2 linked regions of the Oreochromis niloticus genome follow. The protein of the gene in region 2 interacts with the protein of the main gene of each other region in a biochemical or structural test. Links are inferred from orthologs where the notes say so. Each region holds a gene or a part of one and is shown on either strand. Other genes may lie near its edges.

What was found.
Region 1: the proteins of pdzd2 (region 2) and plakophilin-4 form a complex in vitro, tested with the Homo sapiens proteins (2 studies listed by BioGRID and IntAct, with this or other methods). The link is inferred for Oreochromis niloticus from reciprocal best matches to the Homo sapiens genes PDZD2 and PKP4.

Annotation. Positions count from the first base shown.
Region 1 is NC_031987.2:14,967,372-14,977,027, forward strand, and holds the start of plakophilin-4, read left to right. Parts: upstream 1-5,824; 5' UTR 5,825-6,035; intron 6,036-6,725; exon of another isoform or gene 6,726-6,747; intron 6,748-9,656. Other genes in the region: coiled-coil domain-containing protein 148, read right to left, coding at 3,208-3,329, 3,739-3,793. UniProt on the Homo sapiens protein: Plays a role as a regulator of Rho activity during cytokinesis. May play a role in junctional plaques.
Region 2 is NC_031977.2:406,020-415,285, forward strand, and holds the start of pdzd2 (PDZ domain-containing protein 2), read right to left. Parts: upstream 3,819-9,266; 5' UTR 3,514-3,818; intron 1-3,513.

The sequences.
Region 1 (9,656 bases), on a different chromosome or scaffold from region 2:
TCTCATATTTAAAGTTTTTCTCACACCACATTGTACATTTTTATGTATTTAACAACATTTCTTTCATTTCTTTCTTAACCCACACCAATCTTAATTTCATGCCTTTTGAATATTTCCTGTCGTTCACATTCTTACACTATTAAACAAAATGTATGGCATTTTAAAGATTGCTGACATAACACTTCCTGGCTTCCAGACAGAAAATGTAAAAAATGTATAAAATATTCAAAGGTCTGCCTGGATTACGTGCCACCTTGCAAGACCCATACGAAATACCTGGATAAAAAAATTGAAAATGCTTCTTTGCGATTCGGAAGACCATAATACCATCAGAAAACCAACTCTGTACTTGACCTAGAATATTCTGTGTAAATCCATGGCTCACCCTTCATACTCTCAGGTTTTATACATTTCTCACTTTTCCATAGACCTTTCTACAATAGGCTCCTTGACTTGTCATAGAAGAAAAAGCATTGATGTTACTAATAAAGACAATTTTCTTCCAACTCTGGTTCATTCTTTCTCTACTTTCTGGGAAATAAACATGCAGCAGTTCTTCGGGTTCAATGAGAAGTTGCACTACTTCAAGAAAAAAATGAGGCCATTTTCAATCTGAACGTAGCAACACATTTCTAAAAAGTTGGGCCAGAGCCATGTTTAGCGATGTGTAGCATCTCCTCTTTGTGTAACAACAATCTGTAAACATCTGAGGAGACCAGCTGCTGGACTTCTGGGAGAGGAATGTTGTTCCATTCTTGTCTGACGTAGGATTCTTGCTGCACAACTTTGTCATATTTTTCATTTAATGATGTGCCAAATGATTTTAATTGGTGAAAGTTCTGGACTGCAGACAGGCCTGCTCAGCACCCCGACTCTTCTACTACGAAGTAATGCTCTTGTAATAGATGCTGGATTGATGTATCCCATATCATCAGGAACTGAGAGCTGATAGGAAGCTGGATGATCCCTCTCTTTAGTCCAGGATGAAGGATTTTTTTGGAAAAGCATTTCATATTTAGATTTGTCTGACCACAGAACAGTTTAACACTTGATTCAGTCCATTTTAAATAAGCTTTAAGCCAGAGAAGCCGGTGCCCTGTCTGAATCATGTTACATATGGCTTCTTCTGTGCATCATAGAGTTTTAACGTGTCTTTGTGGATGACATGCTGAACTGCATTAACAGGCAGTGATTTCTGGAAGTATTTCTTTGCCCATGCAGTGATTTCCATGGTAGAATCATGCCCGTTTTTAATGCAGTGCTGCATGTCACAGGCATCCAGTATTAATCTTCAACCTAGTCACTTGTGTACAGAGATTTCTTCACATCCTCTGAATCTTTTGGTGATACTATGTACTGTAGATGACAAGCTGTTTAAAATCTTTGCAATTTTATGGAATTTTTCCACAATTAGTAGACACAATTTTTTTCCAGATTGGTGAACCTTAACCTATCTTTACGTCTGAGAGACTTTGCCTCTCTAAGATCTCTTTTTATACTCTCTGACCTGTTACTGACCCGTTGCCAAGTAACCTAATATTTTTCATGAAATACTAAAATGTCATATTTTCTATCTTCTGTTATTAAAAAATATAGTTTTATGTGATTTGTAAATCATTCCATTCTGTTTTTATTTATATTTTACACAGCGTCTCAAATTCTCTATAATAGGGTTTGTATATTCAGCTCGTAGACATCCACGTGAACAATGTAAAAATAGTTGTATGAGTACATTTAATTTCCTTTCATACGTAATGAGTAAAAAGTCATCTTTTTCTTTTTGAAGGTTTTAAACTTAAACCACATGTATTTACAAGCCATGTCTCGTTCTTTTTTCAGCTCCTCCCTTCAGGTGTTGCCACCCTATCCTCTGCATCACACCAATTATCTGCATGTCCTTTCTCACTACATCCACTAACCTTCGTTTTAGTCTTCCTTTTCTCCTTTAGCTTAGCAGTTAATATTAAACATCTTTTTCCTAATACATGCACTATCACTCTTCTACCCATGGCCAAACCATCTCAACCTTGCCTCTTTTACTTTGTCTCCAAATCAGCTCCATCCTGAGCAGGCCCTCTGATATACCCTTTCCTTATGCATTTTTTCATTCTTTATTGCTCTTTTTAATACATTTTGAAATACAAATCATCTCTGAAATGTCATACATGAGTAAAGGATCAATAATTTTGCAATCACACACAGGGGATTCTCCCACAATATTGGAGACATGGTATATTTCAGTTATGCATTTTCTTATAATAAAGTCAATGTCTTTCAGCAAAAACACATAAACATTAATATAGGTGAATCAGTAGGGAAAATGTAGCAATATTATGCCCATTTGTTGGATGTCTACCTGTAATCAAAACAGTATTGAAAAAAATATGTTTCCCACTCCTTTTTTCAGTGTTTACATACACACATATCTGTATATTGGGTAACACAGTGCACAGAGTGTAGTATAGAGCTACCAAGTGTTTACTGTCTACTAATGCTGCCAGTCCATTTATAGAAAGCAAAAATGATCCCATGCTTGAGGCTACTCATGGTAATTTATTTACCCCTATCACATCACCAATATGAGATGTTCAAAAAGCCTGCTTTTTCAGGAGGGCCAATATGAACATAGCCTCTCTTATCTAGGTTATCCAGAGCGCAGGGTTGGAAGAAGCCATGGGCTACCACGATGATGCTAGAAGGCTTCTGACACAATTTACTAATTAAAACAACACAGGTCTAATCTCCAGTGCCCCTAGCATTAACTTTTTGATCAGCTCAGAATCATATGACTATGAACTTCAAACAGTGTGGTGGGAAAACCCACAGGAAGCCAAATGAATATTCACAGAAATGCCATTCTGTATGGCAGTGATATTACTGCTCTCTTTCATGTTGTTGGACAAACTACAAGAATTATGCAATGTCTATTTTATGCTAAATGAAATCCTTTTACAGCGTGTGGCATATATGAAAGAGTGGAAAAAGGTAAACACACACACACACACGCACACAGATATTGCACTTTTTACTACTACTGAGGACATGCTGTTTAGTTAACACTTCCTTTGATGTATAATGAGTGGTTTTATTGCACATACTCCTTTATTTGCTGCTGAATCAACGTGTTATTAAATGCAACAGGACTTTATTTTAGGAAAACACAGCTTTTTTATTAGCACAGGGATGACAGTGCAAACAAAAGGTTACCTTTTGTCCAATTAGATCAGTCTCCTCGCGTTTGGCATCAACAATCGCTAGTAGTCTTTTATATTCTGCCGGCTTGTACTTTGAGCTGCCAAGACCATTTTTCATTCGCACTGTCAGTTTTTCTGCATGGATGAAAACAGATGATATGGATGAATTAGGATCACTGGAATTCTTGAAAATCTCATCACTTTTAATGTCTGAAGTAAAGACTTTATGCTGACTTCAGCAAAAAAAGGTTAGACAGAGGAGCAACACCAGTTAAGCTCTAATGGATTGTATGCGTAATAAAGAAATGATTGCACAGGAGGAGGGGGATAGCAGAGACAAACTGTGTCAGACGTTTTTTTTCAGTGCTTCGGCTTGACTCAAGGAAGCAGGTGGATAAACACAAGCTGTGCCTGTGACAAAAACAACAGACTTGAAAGGCACCTGGAGAATTCGACATGAGGGCTTCAGGTCAAACCGGTTCAACAGTTGAGTAGACCACTATGTCAGAAGCCAGAATATTCCAGCCATTTTTCACTCACTTACCAACATCTTCTGCTTTAATGCTTGTTATGAATGTTTGTAGATCCTTTCCACTCATCACTATTGAGCTTTATCTTCATGCACCAGAGTACCTTCAAAATAAAGACATTAATTATTGCGCTGCACACACATGCACAGCTTTGTTGCCTACAAAAAAAGTTTGGTGTGACATTGTTTAAAATGCTAGTTAACATCAACAAGTTTTAGTGTACTGGAGCCAGTGTGTGTGTGATATACTGCTGGAATGTTTTTTTTTTCCTTTTTGCCTTTGTTTTGGATTAAGCTTGGAAAGATTTTCGCACAGGATTCCTCTCCTTTCAAATGCATGGTGTGTGAAGAGATGGGATGAACTATGCAGGAATTAATTTTTCTATGATTGGAGGGAAAACAGATGCGCTGTTCTGAATCCTTGTCTATTTTTTGCCCATGTCTCCATTACATATAGACTTAAATACCGATTTTAAGGACAGCAAAATTATTACTTTTTCCATTTCAACACCAAATGGCAAGCCAAGGTTAGGATTCAAGACATAGGTCATTCTAGAAATGTCAATTTTTCTGTCCCTGGCTTTTACTACACTTAAAAACCACTTTATTTACAATTTATTTCTATGTTAAATTTGAATAATTTTTCCTTCCTCATTCTTTAATTTCACAATATTACAATTAGAATAGGCACCACCACCGCGTTTGTCCCCACAGTCGAGTATGGTGGGTAAAGGCTGTGTTTTTTTTGTTATATTTAAAATGCATCAAATCAATCAGATATGTTAAAAATATGATGACTGTGACACAATGAAGCAAAATGTGAAATAAATATTATAAGATATATAAAGAAAGTCATGGTCCCTTAAAACTGTGTCACTGGTGTTATGAGAAAAGTTTATTATTTTGAAACAAAACATCCCAATAATGACATCACTTGACTTACTTTCACAGATTTCCTGAAGCACTATAAAGAAATGGTCATGATGAGACCAGTGTCTCTTTTCATTTATCAGATTTTTTTCTGTTTTATCTCGTAATTTCATAATAAGCTTTTAGTTGAAGTCACTAATACAAAACAGTTAGGAAATTGTTAAAAAAAACAAAACCCAAAACAACAGAATATAAATGGATTAAATGACATAATCTGGTGAGTACAAGATGACTGACATCATGTGGTTTGATGCTTGCAGCATCTATTTTGTAAAAAGCATTTTCCATGAAAACTGTCACTGCTGTTACCTTCCTTATGGGTAACACTAGACCTCCGAGATAATAATTTTACATCCACTGAAATTCGGTACAGGTACAGGTTAAGATATAAAGAATGGCATTGTCACTCATTTTAAGTGTTCTTTATATGCTTTCATTTGATTTTATTGCTAATAAATGACTTTGCAAATATCATACATTGACGCTTTGAACAAACGCTTTGAAATAATAAAATATTATCTTATGATTTTTGCATCACATAGCATTATTCTAAATAATAATTAATAGAAGCCCCCAAAATTTGCATAAGGAGTAAGATAACACCAGTGGCGAAAAGGTGGCACATGGGTTAAATGTACAAAAGAAATATTTTTAAAAAATCATTAGGTTGTCATTTTTTTGCTGTTAAAACTATGGACATACAACTAGCCTAAAATATTTTCCAAGCCAAGCTCTGTTAATTTACTTTACCGATTTTTACCAATTATTATAGTCCTTAATTAAACTAGAAAACACTTAACTTTATCATTGTCACAGCTGCTACTGCTATAGTTTAGCGACAGTACTTGTGTAGAACCTATGCTCAACCTTACAAAAAAAAACCAAAACCAAGTGAACCAAAGGTTTCCTACAAGACCAAGCTCAAACTATACCTACAATAAAGTTACACACAACAATTAGCGATTATTTGCGTTGTAAACTAAGTATTTATACCCGACGAGCCACCTAGCTTACCTTGTTCTCTCCCTTCTACAGTGTATGGGTTGACAAAACAGGTAACCAAGGTAACTATCATCTTCTCAGTCATTGGTTAATTTAACAACGCGTACCTCTTCAGGAACGCCCCCGTATTCGCTTTGAAACCAATCAGGAGTGCACATCGGTTTCCCACATTCCCGCTGACGTCATGCACGCTCGCATTGCCTGGGACTGCTGTTGGAAGCGAGGAGCAGCCGAGGGGTCGTCTTCTTCACTCGAGTGTGGACGCGAGTTTCATTCTTCCACATGCATGGGACTAAAAGGCAGGACTTTACAGATGAAGTTACACATTCCAATGTAGATCCAAGCCGCAGCTCAGCCAGCGCAACTACAATCCTCCCAAGGTATGGAAATGTTTCTCTTTTCTTTTCTTTGCAAACTGCTAAATAATTGGAGTGAATACGCAGGGAGAAACGAGAGCATCTGTGCGCAGAGCAGGCAGGAGGGTATGGGCTGCTTACTTGAAGTCGGAAAGTGAAAAGAGAGTGGTTGCTTTTTTTCTTTCTCTTTTTTCCGTCTGTGCATGCGGCATAAGACAAGCTTCTTTTGGCTTCCTCTCAGCGGGGAAGAATCTAATACTACCCTAATCTGTTTCTTGTGACCGAATCATCGCAAACAACGCACACCTTTGAGGGACCTTCACGCGCTGTTTTTGATGCCATGCCTAACCGTGGGGGTGAAAACTTGGCCGGCTAATGTAAATGCACGGAAACTGCTCCGGGGTTAGTTTTCCTCTTGTAGAAAAACTCACTTTACTGTGGCAATGCCCTTGAAAACGTGTTGCTAAGTAGTGCAGGAAAAGGCAGGTGAGCTTAGAGTGTGGGAATCTCTGGAATGCGAGGTCGCCCAGGGGCGTAGATCCAAACTCTGCTCCTATTAGATTGGCTTACCTTTTACCCTCAGGTTGAACTAGCTAGGTTCAAACTACGCCATATTTAATGACTCTATTTTGCATTTTAAGAGGGTCGTTTCCTTTTTAACGGTAACCGTGACTCTACGTTGTCATCGTTTTGCACCGTGCAAGAACAACCTACCTTTGTGGCAGGGGTAGACTGAAACAGTAATTCAGACCGGGGATTTGAGTCCTTTCCAGGCCACCTTGTTCATGCGAACCTCACCAAACTGCTGTCTTTGAAGGCTTTTTACTGGTTACAAACTGAGTGCTTGCTCTTCAGAGTATCATATGGGCAGTGGTAGAAGGAATACTCAGGTACTGTTACAAATGTGCCTCTACTGCAAAGTGTATCTTTAGGTGTTACAAAAACACTTTAAAGTGCAAAGTGTTCTTGTCAAAAACAACTCTTTGTATTAGTTTTTAACGGCTTATATTTGTCTTCTTTATCAGTAGCATTAATTCATAGGGGAAAAACCATGTAGGAAAACCACCATATTCACAACAGTCTCATAAAATCACAATGTCAGTGAAACAAATGACTCGGGATATAATTTATAATTAAGATGACAAAATGAAAAATAAAAAATTGGCAGCGATCAAATATAATCGTAATTATATAAGCTCTAGGTTTCTATTTCCAAAGAAATCACATCATGAAGTGATTACTTTGTTATTAAAAAGGAAATCTGTAGCCAATACTATACAAGCATAACAGACACAAGCATCAAGTATAAACACTTAAGAAGTGCATGAGAATATATAAGCTACAGGTGTGTGTGTGTGTGTGTCTGTCTGTCTGTCTGTACACAAAATGAAAAAAGGAGAGGGAAACCAGTGAGTGCAGACCCACAGAGGTGGGGGTGAAACCGTGTAGGTGTAAATGTAAGCAGACAAAAGGTTTTAGAGTTGAAGGCGGGAAACTCTGGATTCCCAGAATCTTTAAAATGAAGCTTTTGTCCCAATTCACCAAGGTCAAAATACTCAAGCTGGGATGTGCCACACATTAGTAAAAAGAGAAATGAGTGATTCTAATGTGAAACGGCAAATAGTGGCTGCACTAAGAAATGATAAGGATTATAGAGAGTCTGTGAAGAAGATGAATAGTAAAGGGAAAAAAAGAAAAAACATTTACTTTTATATGTATATTTTTTATTTTTTATTGTTCTTAATTGTCATAGCTTGCTTTTAAAAGTACCTGCGTCCACAGTCCAAAACATGGACATTAGGTTAATGGGAGGTTCTAAATTGCCTGTCTCTGTGTGTTAGCCCTGTGATGGACTGGTGACCTGTCCGTGGTCTACCCCACTTCTCAACCTACGACAGCTGGCATTGGCTCCAGCTCTCCCCCCAGCTCTGAATTGCACAAGTGGTTAAAATGTACCCTCACAGATGACTTGTGGAAGTAGTTGTAATTCACTAGCACCATCACTGGCTATGGGTGTAGAATTAAAACTTACCAGAGCAGTTTTCTCACATGGCAGGTAGGGCTGGGCGATATGACCCAAAATTCATATCTCGATATTTTTTAGCTGGATGGCGATATAAGATATATATCTCGATATTTTTTTAAAGCCATAAAGTAAGAACAAAAAGAGAGTTCTTAGTCAAAGCTGTGTCCCAGATGTCACACAGGCACTTTTATTAACATACAGCATAGATGTACATGAAAAAAACTACTCAAAAATAAATTATGAGCATTTATTAAATAATAATGCTCCATAAATAAACCAAAACAATGTTGTTTTTGTGCATAACAAAAAGCTCACAATTGTGCAGTCAGAATGTAAACTAAAAGACGCTGAGCATAATAACATAGACAGATTTCACAGCTGCTCTGTTCCCAACTTCTGCTGCGTAACTGACAGCCTGGAGTTTGAAATCAGCTGCATAACCACGTCTCTTAACAGGTGCCATTTATGGTCCTTATACACACACAATACGGTAATATTACCTTGAAGCACAGTACGTATTACTCCGCGAGGCTCCTTGGTAGCCGTAATGCTCCGACAATCCATCAAGAGGTGCAGCTCCGTAGCTTACCAAAGTCGTACCAAAACATTTTTTGACAGATTGCTGAGCGCTGTGTATCACATAAAATCGGTTCGGTCATCAAGCACAACCAGAATTCATACAAAAGGCGCGCTGTCAACTTTTGAGAGAATGAAAGGATTTTAGGCTGTGCAGCCCCTCTGGGCTGCATGGCGTTAGCGTGGTTAGCTCGTTAACACGTTGACGCCATCCAGCCCCACGCACGGGGCGATGCGCAGTAACTCGTTAACGGAGATTTGCCGTGTCCATCTTGTCGCTGCCTGCAGGTGAAGCGATGGGGGAGGAGGGGGAGTTGTGTTCAGTGAAGGAGAGGCGAGGTCGAGTAACGTTGCGTAAAGACAAAAGTGGACGAAAGAGAGGCAAACTTGTGGCTCCACAACTATAATTATAATGTAACACAGACTATATCAATATAAAGGATATTGTCACATCTTATATCTCGTATAAAAATATATCGATATTTTTTAAAAACTCGATATATCGCCCAGCCCTAATGGCAGGGAACCTGAACGTTTTGCCTGGGGACATCAATCCCAAAGCAAAATGTAGGGTTAGCTAAATGTTGACATGATTATCTTTATTAATAGCCAGTCACTCACAAGTCAAGCTAAATGCACTAAAATTGGCAGTTACCTTAGATGATGCCTTTGTTCATCTAAACTGTTGGATTCCTTACCACAGTAATCGACTTTTCCCCCACTTTGATATCAGCTGCACCACAAACCATCTCAGATTTTAATAGCAGAATTTGATTTGTGCCGAAGCCATGAATGAATGTAATTTGATGGTGGACACCTGTGCTATTGCTTGAGAAACCTCACCACAAGCAAACCAAAGCAACAACTTCACAATGCAATTCTGCAGCAAGGTCACCAACTGCTCATTCACTGTGAGTGGAATAGGAAATATTGTAACAACAAATACTCGTGTTTTGTATCCGTAGTGGTGTGTGTGTTGACAAGTGAGTATAATATTGGCCTCTTATGTGAATGCGTTACTTATTTCACAGCATTTAGCTTCT
Region 2 (9,266 bases):
TGATACATATTTTTGATCACATCGCCCTGCTCTACTCACGCCAACAATAATAAGAACAAAATAATATTAGTGCAAACTGTTTCTTGACTTTGTGTCACACCTAAGCAGAAAATGTAGCACATTTAGTGCATTAGTACAACATTAGTTGTAGTGAATCAACAACAATCATTCCTGCTGTGAACCTTCGTCCTGCTCTAACCTGCAGTGTTTTCATGCACCCTGTAAATAACATACAGTTTGTACACACTTCAGGTTCATATGACATTTTGCATCATATACTGATCCAGTATATAATATATTACAGGTCGCTCGCATGTAAGCTTTATATTTCAGATTGCATTGAACAGCCCTCACCTTCAAGCCAAACCTCCTGTCTTTCTCCTTTCAAAAACACTTCTGGATTGTTCTGGCCTACTTTAACTCTTAGTACAGCGCTACAAATGATGCATAAATTATATGTTTTTGCATCTTTTTGATGGCACGCAATGATGTGAAATAAAAACCTGCCTCAAACCAAAAGTAACAAACTTGTTCTGATAATCTAATGTAGAACTGATACTGGAGTCTTTATGCTGATCTGCTGATTAATGCTCTCTCTGCTACTGCTAAATGGTGTTTTCTATATATCCACAGACCGCACATGTCCACAGACAGCACATGACCACAGACAGCACATGTCCACAGACAGCACATGTCCACAGACAGCACATGACCACAGACAGCACATGTCCACAGACAGCACATGACCACAGACCGCACATGTCCACAGACAGCACATGTCCACAGACAGCACATGTCCACAGACAGCACATGTCCACAGACCGCACATGACCACAGACCGCACATGTCCACAGACCGCACATGTCCACAGACCGCACATGACCACAGACAGCACATGTCCACAGACAGCACATGACCACAGACAGCACATGACCACAGACCGCACATGTCCACAGACCGCACATGACCACAGACCGCACATGTCCACAGACAGCACATGACCACAGACCGCACATGACCACAGACCGCACATGTCCACAGACAGCACATGACCACAGACAGCACATGACCACAGACCGCACATGTCCACAGACCGCACATGACCACAGACCGCACATGTCCACAGACAGCACATGACCACAGACCGCACATGACCACAGACCGCACATGTCCACAGACCGCACATGTCCACAGACAGCACATGACCACAGACCGCACATGTCCACAGACCGCACATGTCCACAGAGAGCACATGACCACAGACCGCACATGACCACAGACCGCACATGACCACAGACCGCACATGTCCACAGACCGCACATGACCACAGACCGCACATGTCCACAGACAGCACATGACCACAGACCGCACATGTCCACAGACAGCACATGTCCACAGACAGCACATGACCACAGACCGCACATGACCACAGACCGCACATGACCACAGACCGCACATGTCCACAGACAGCACATGACCACAGACCGCACATGTCCACAGACAGCACATGACCACAGACCGCACATGACCACAGACCGCACATGTCCACAGACAGCACATGTCCACAGACAGCACATGACCACAGACCGCACATGTCCACAGACCGCACATGACCACAGACCGCACATGACCACAGACAGCACATGACCACAGACCGCACATGTCCACAGACCGCACATGTCCACAGACAGCACATGTCCACAGACAGCACATGACCACAGACAGCACATGACCACAGACCGCACATGTCCACAGACCGCACATGACCACAGACCGCACATGTCCACAGACAGCACATGTCCACAGACAGCACATGACCACAGACAGCACATGTCCACAGACAGCACATGACCACAGACAGCACATGTCCACAGACCGCACATGACCACAGACAGCACATGTCCACAGACAGCACATGTCCACAGACAGCACATGTCCACAGACAGCACATGACCACAGACAGCACATGTCCACAGACAGCACATATCCACAGCATGCATACACAGTTTCTTGGTAAATCTCGGTGTCCCTCCTTGGCCCGGTTCCTTCTTATCTGTGTGTAAAAACCAGGTCCAGTCTAGCCCACACTCTCCCAACATTACACAAATGTTTGTCCCCTGAGTCAGAACACAATTAAAAAACAACAACATTTAAATATACTGTCTGTGTTTCTGGAATAATCCACAGAATAAACTGAAACGGTCAGAAATAGTTACAATGTGGGACTTTAGTTGTATTTATATGAGCGAGAGAAAAGCTCCTCTGGTTAGTGTGACTGCTGTTGCATACTATTCCTGTGTCTGTGTGGAATACTGCATTTGTTATATTGTCTTTATGTGCTGCCCTCTTGGAAACTTTGATCTGGATAAATAAAGGTTAACAATAAAAATAACAGAAAATTTTATGTACAGTTACAAGTACTTGTATTTTGTTACTTTCGACCTCTGTTACGACGCAGTTCAACTTCAATTCACAGCAACTACAGCTGCCTCGAGGCGTTTTACATACAGATGCACACAAAGCCACTCTAATTTGGAACGTGGGAAAAACATCCATAATATCTAAAACTGCAGTATTAGTACCAGGACCAGGTATTTCAGATTATTTGTTTAGTTTTTTCCAGTGAAGCCCACGATGTGTCCTCTCATACATCAGTGACACATCAGAGACATGTGACATGTAGCAGTGAAATACGTTTGGATGGTTTCGTATACAACATGTTCATAATCATACTGTACATATTTCACATGCTCTGCTCAGCTAAGTATTACTTGTGTGGTTCGTGAGGGTGGTAGGCTGTGAATGTTGGATGGCAGTCTCTCCACTGAAAAGAAATCACATTACTTCTTAATGAGGTCATTTTAAAACTGGAGCCAAAAGAGCTTGAAAGCAACAGTGAATGGAGCTGAGAGAGCAGAGTTCCTGAGCACGCTCTCTATGAGCACTTTAAGGAATCACTCGGTGTGTCTGACAGACTGACGGTCAGTAAACACATCAAAGAGACATTCACGCTTTTTGCTTTTAAATTATAAGTTCAAGAAGAAGAAAAACAACACCACACACACACACACACACACAGACACACACACACACACACACACACACGGTGTTGTTGTTGAGGTTATAGTTTAACCTTCTGCTGTTATCTACATGTATCTACTACTACCAACAATAATAATAATATTTATGCATTAACACAAAACTTTTTCTAATGAAAATGTTGCTGGTCAGATTGGTTAGTTATGGTTGATAGTTAGAATTTGAAAGTCTTCAATAAAGTGACTTATTTAGTTCGCAGCTGTCCGTATAATGCGTAATAAAGTGAAGCGCTCAGACGGTCCGGAGCTGTGCAGCCAGTCACGATACTGCTGATGCTCGCTGTTTTCCAGCGTGTCCCTATTCTGTGAAAGCGACAAACTCGCAAAGGCTCAGTCACTGCTGTGTTACCGTCCACGTCTCTAAACGTGTACTCACGGTGTGAGTCAGTGCAAAGATAACGCAGAGCTACAGTACCTGTGGGCTACACTGTGTTCCTCCGAGGCTTCCACTTCCAGCTCCAACGATCCTCCGTGTTTTGAGCGGGTTTTTTCTTCTTTTCTTTTTTAAAGAGAGATGAAAGACCCGCTTCACGGAGCGCCTGTGTGCAGGAATAAAGTGGCGCAAAGCTTCCTGAAGAAAAGCGGCTCCAAACTTCAGAAGTCCCGATATCTTCTCCGGGAACACTGAGGCAAAAAACACAGAGACAAAGTCAAACTTCAGCCTGCTGAGCCAGTCACGGATGGTTTGGGCTCGGGCTGAACTGTCACTCGGCTGCTCCACTCCCCACTGCACACGGAGGGTGGAGTCACGTCCAGATTTGTTGAGGTGGTTCTTTTGCGCCCAGCTCCTCCCCCCGTGGTCTCCCCACTACGTGTTGTGATGTGTTGGCCATCACATCACGTGATCACTCTATAGTATTAATAATAATACTATGGTCTGTCAAACTGCGCTCTCCCAACTTGAACTTGTTACAACATGAGGCAGCAATTAGCAAATGTTAGTATGCTGTTCGGTGTTTCCACTTTCTTTACCTTTAGAGCCGGGATAGTTTGGTAAATGCTGCCTCTGGCTGTCTCCAAGTTCAAATGAAACCAGCCGTACTGTATACGTTACTGCGCTTATTCATCTTGGCTGCTATGATGCCCCACTCATGGACATCTCTCTAACATTGTAACCTTTGTTTTTCACCCCGTTTAGTGCACTGGTGGACCTGGGCTTTCAATATTCTGCTCAAACAGCACACTCTCACATATATATTTAACATACAACCATGTTAAAAATCATTGGGATTTTGGGGAATTAAGGCGATAGGTGGCCTGTGTTGCATCTCAAATGTTACATTTCATGTCAGTACAATTAGAAAAAAGACCTGAAAACATACGACTTGTTGGAAGGGTTGCCAGGCGAAAGCCTCTTCTCTCTAAAGTCAGTGTGGTAGCACAGCTTAGCTTTGCAAAGCTGCAAAATGAACAACAAAACACAACAATATCCTTCAGATAGACGATACCAAAGTGAAGACGTCTGGCAGAGTGCAGAGGACCACTTTTAAATATCAGCACAAACTGTGAAGCACAGTGGTGGAGGTGTGGTGATTTGGGCACCTTTCAATCACTGAGTGAAGCATGAACTGTGGACCATCTGTCAAATGTGAGTCCATCTGTCTGACAGTTAAAGCTTGGCTCTAATTGGGTCATGTAACAGGACAATGATCCCAAGCACAGCTGAAAAGAAAAGAGTCAAGCTGCTGTCGTACTCTGAGGCTAAGATTTCAGTGGTCAAACGGAGTCATCCAAAGCATGCAGCACCATATTAATGACTAGCCTCGTGTTGAGGATTGTCTCAGGCGTTATCTTGAATGGTCCGATTCACGTTTTGTTTTCCGTGTGACTGCAATCATCCATTCAGGGACCCTCACATTTACTTTCATTATTATTAGTTACCATTATTCCTCCGTCTTCATTACACCATGTTAGCACCACCAGGTAGCACACCATTATATGTCAGCTAGCCAGACTTCACTAACCCTTCAAACACTCTGTCTTTATTTATGTCTGAAGTGATAGCAGAGCTGTTTTAGTCTGTGATGTCTGAACATGGTATATCCTCTTCAGATGGAAACTAGCGAGCTAACTTCCTGCCAATTTCTAAGTCAGTTACAATATACCTGTTTTTCATTGATGACCTCAGGTTAGGTTTGTGTACTATGTTTGAGGTAACTTCTTTAAATATGCAATCATTTTTTAAATGGATTTATTTCTTGTTGCCCAGCAGTTGTAGCAAGCAGAATCCTAATCTGAAGGCTTTGTTGTGCCAAACCCATTGCTTTCCCAAGAGGAGCACCTCAGACTCTCTGCAGGCTCCTTTTGTGAATGTTCCTGTTTAATCTTATTATTCATATTACTATCTGTGTGGATGCTGGAGCAGATGGGGGTGAAGGCTAGATTGGAGCCAGACAGGAGAAGAAAGCAGAGGAACAAAAAAAGAAACAGGACAGAAAGACAAAATAAAGCAGGTACGCAAACAAATATGTGAGTGAGAGACAGAGAGAGTGAGAGACAGTATGTGAGTGTCTGCTTTATGAGTGTTTGTTAGTAAATATACTTGAAAAATGAGGGTGAAAGACTGCAGCTGTTCATCTGGATGAAGAGTTTTCAGTGGGAGAAACGTTTCATCACTCATCCAGGTGACTCTTCACTCTCAGCTGACTGCAGGTTTCCCCAACAGTACATTTGGTTATTGACTGAAACTAGCACCACTGATGAACAATGGACTGGGAGGTCAGTACCAGGGCCACTGATATGCCAGACCCACACAGAGGATGTGGACAAGGGGGTGAAAAGACAGCACATTCAAGAATTCACAGAGAGTTGGGGAATGGCTGCAATCACAGCATTGTAAGATGGTGACAGATGGACCCTTAGGCCCCCTCCTCCATTCACAGATGGTCTTTCCCTTTTCACGTAAATGGCCTCCTTGACTCCGCCCTCAAACCAGCGTTCCTCCCTGTCCAGGATGTGTACATCCTCATCGTTGAAAGAGTGTCCACTGGCCTGTAGGTGTAAATAGACTGCAGAGTCCTGGCCTGATGAGGTGGCTCTGCTGTGTTGTGCCATCCGCTTCGCTAGAGGTTGTTTGGTTTCCCCGATGTATAAATCCTGGCAATCCTCCTGGCACTTAACAGCGTACACTATGTTACTCTGTTTGTGTCGGGGGACCCGATCCTTGGGGTGGACCAGTTTTTGGCGCAGCGTGTTTTGGGGTTTGAAAGCCACAGAGACCCGGTGTTTAGAAAAAATGCGTCTCAACTGTTCCGATACTCCTGACACATATGGGATCACTACAGGTTTTCACTTAGGCAGCGGTTGTCCTTCTCTCCTGGATCGGCTGGAGCTTTCTTTAGGTGCCTTCCCAGCTTTGACAAAAGTCCAGCTGGGATAACCACATTTACTCAGGGCCTTCTTGATGTGATGTTCTTCTGCCTCCCTGGCCGCTGTGTCTGTGGGGATGGTGTTCGCTCTGTGTTGTAGCGTCCTGATGACACCCAGTTTATGCTCCAGTGGATAGATAGATAGATAGATAGATAGATAGATAGATAGATAGATAGATAGATAGATAGATAGATAGAATTTCATTGCTTACAAATCCATATCAAGGATTCAACATTATTTGATCAGATATATTTAACTATTTACAAGTCTAACAAACTGAACATACACAAATAAAACCATTTTCAGCACGTAAACCACAACAACAACAAACTACATGTTTACATAAACTAAGCACCCTGTGTTTAACACCCGCTTAATCTCTGATCTTATTTGATATCTATTAATGAACACTTAAGCCTGGGTTACTCTGGCCTTGATCTATAAAAATGAGGAGACAATGAGACGACTCAGTCACTGAGAGGAAGATTTCCTATATTCATTGCGATTTATTATTTTTGAACAGGCGTGTGAGATTTTGTATTGATGTACTTTTCTTGATCTCACCTGTACAGGTGTTCCACACACTAACTCCTCTGACTGTAATGCTGTGATAGTTTACATTTGTCCTTACTACTGGCTTGCTGAACATAAGGATTTCTCTCAGGTCAGGAGTATTTGGTCTTATTTGGAACAAGTTCTGAATGTTGTGGGGCAAAGATTTCTTTGCTGCTTTGTACATTGTTTGCACAGTTCTGAGGTCGACCAAATCTTTAAATTTGAGAATATTTAATTTGATAAAAAGTGGATTTGATGGTTCTCTTGAAGTAGTTTTATTTATTATCCTTATTGCTCTTTTTTGCAGAATGTATATTGGATGGGTGTGTGTTTTATACATGTTTCCCCACACTTCCACACAGTATGTCATGTAAGGCAGTATAATAGAACAATAGAGAGTATATAATGACATTGGATGAGAGTCAAACCTTAAATACTGATCCATATGTGTAGGTTTACGGTACACATCAGCTTTTAGATGTCCCCCATTAGTGAAGGAAATCTCACAGTCTATGAAGGCTAACCTGCCACTTTTCATATCCTCCCTGGTGAATTTGATGTGTCGGTCCGTCGAGTTAATGTGATCCGTGAAATGTGGTACGTCCTGAGATTTGATTTTCACCCAGGTGTCATCCACATATCTGAACCAATGGCTTGGTGGTGTTCCAGGGTAGGATAGCAACGCCCTCTTTTCCACTTCTTCCATGTACAAATTGGCCATGATGGCTGAAACTGGGGAGCCCATGGCACACCCATGTTTCTGCCTGCCTGACCCTTGTATGTGAAGTAGGTGGAATTAAGACACAGTTCAAACGCACTTGGTGGATGCTGAGAGTGGTCCTGTTGCTGAGGTTGGGGTCATCCTGTAACCTCTTACGAACTACCTCCAATGCTTCCGTGACTGGGATGCAAGTGAAGAGAGATGTAACGTCGTACGAGACCATGGTTTCATCTGCCTCCATAATAACATCTCTCACCTTCTCAACCAAATCCAAGGTGTTCTGGATGTGGTGTTCAGAGCTGCCCACCAGCGGGTTGAGGATCGAAGCCAGAAACTTAGAGATGTTATAGGTGACCGAGTTGATCATACAGACTTAAAGGAGGTCTTAAAGGTGCATCCTGTTTATGTTTCTTTGGTTAACTTATTTATCTACATATATATATATAATATAATGGTTTATACCTTGTGTTGGGGGGGGGGGGGGGGGGGGGGGTGTTTCTGTCTTGTTTTTATGGACATGAAGTCTGCCAATAAAGATTGAATTGAATTGAAATTGAATTGAGTTAACTATACAGACTTCCCCTGGGTGTAACTTGTGTTCTGAGGTCTGGTCAGTAAAGTCAACTGCTTAAGACAATCTATCACCCTTTTCCTGTAACCACTACCTGGGTCTTGTTTCAAGGGTTCATATTTTAGTATTTTATAGTATTTTTGTTACTGAGCCAAAATGTCTCATGATAGTCTGTGTGGTTTAGCAACACCAACACCTGCTGTAGTCTGCTGGATGGTGTTGTTGTTGTCCTTACTAAGCGCTGTAAGTACCTTCCTCTCCTCCATGCTGATATTGGATGCTGGGGGCTTTGCTTTGCTGAGACAGGTTAACATTTTCATCCACAGTTGCTCTGCTTTCACATCTGCAGTGTTGTTGTTTCGAATTTCTGACTCTGTGGCTGTGATCAGTTACACAATCTCAGCATCATAGCAAAGTTCAACCCTTTTGCAAGGAGTTTTTTCTCTGCTTGAGTGAGTTGTTGACAGTTTTTCTCTCTCACATGTCCATATCCTCCATGTGACATATCAGTGACCTTATGGCCAATAGTTAGTCAGTGTTCCTACTTTAGGTCATTTTACAAATGTCCTGTTAATAAGGTTGGAAACCTGCAGTCAGCTGAGACTGATGAAGTCACCTGGATGATGACGAAACGTTTCTCCCACTGAAAACAGATGAACAGAATCAACTTTCTGGGATTTCCTTACCCGGATGATTGAGCATGCTGAAGGCATACCTCCATCGAAGTTTTCTTATAGATTTTTTTTTTCAGTTCATTTTTTTTTCACTTCATACAACTTTTGTACCCTCGAAAAGACAGGTGAACTCCCTCACAAACAGTATGAAGAATAGGTATAACAGAGCTACTCTACAGGGTAAATGGTACAATAGTGCCATTTATTGGTCTTTTTAGGGTACTGCTTCATAGGAATCTACAACATCTGCTGATTTTAATTCCATCCATTCTCTTCAA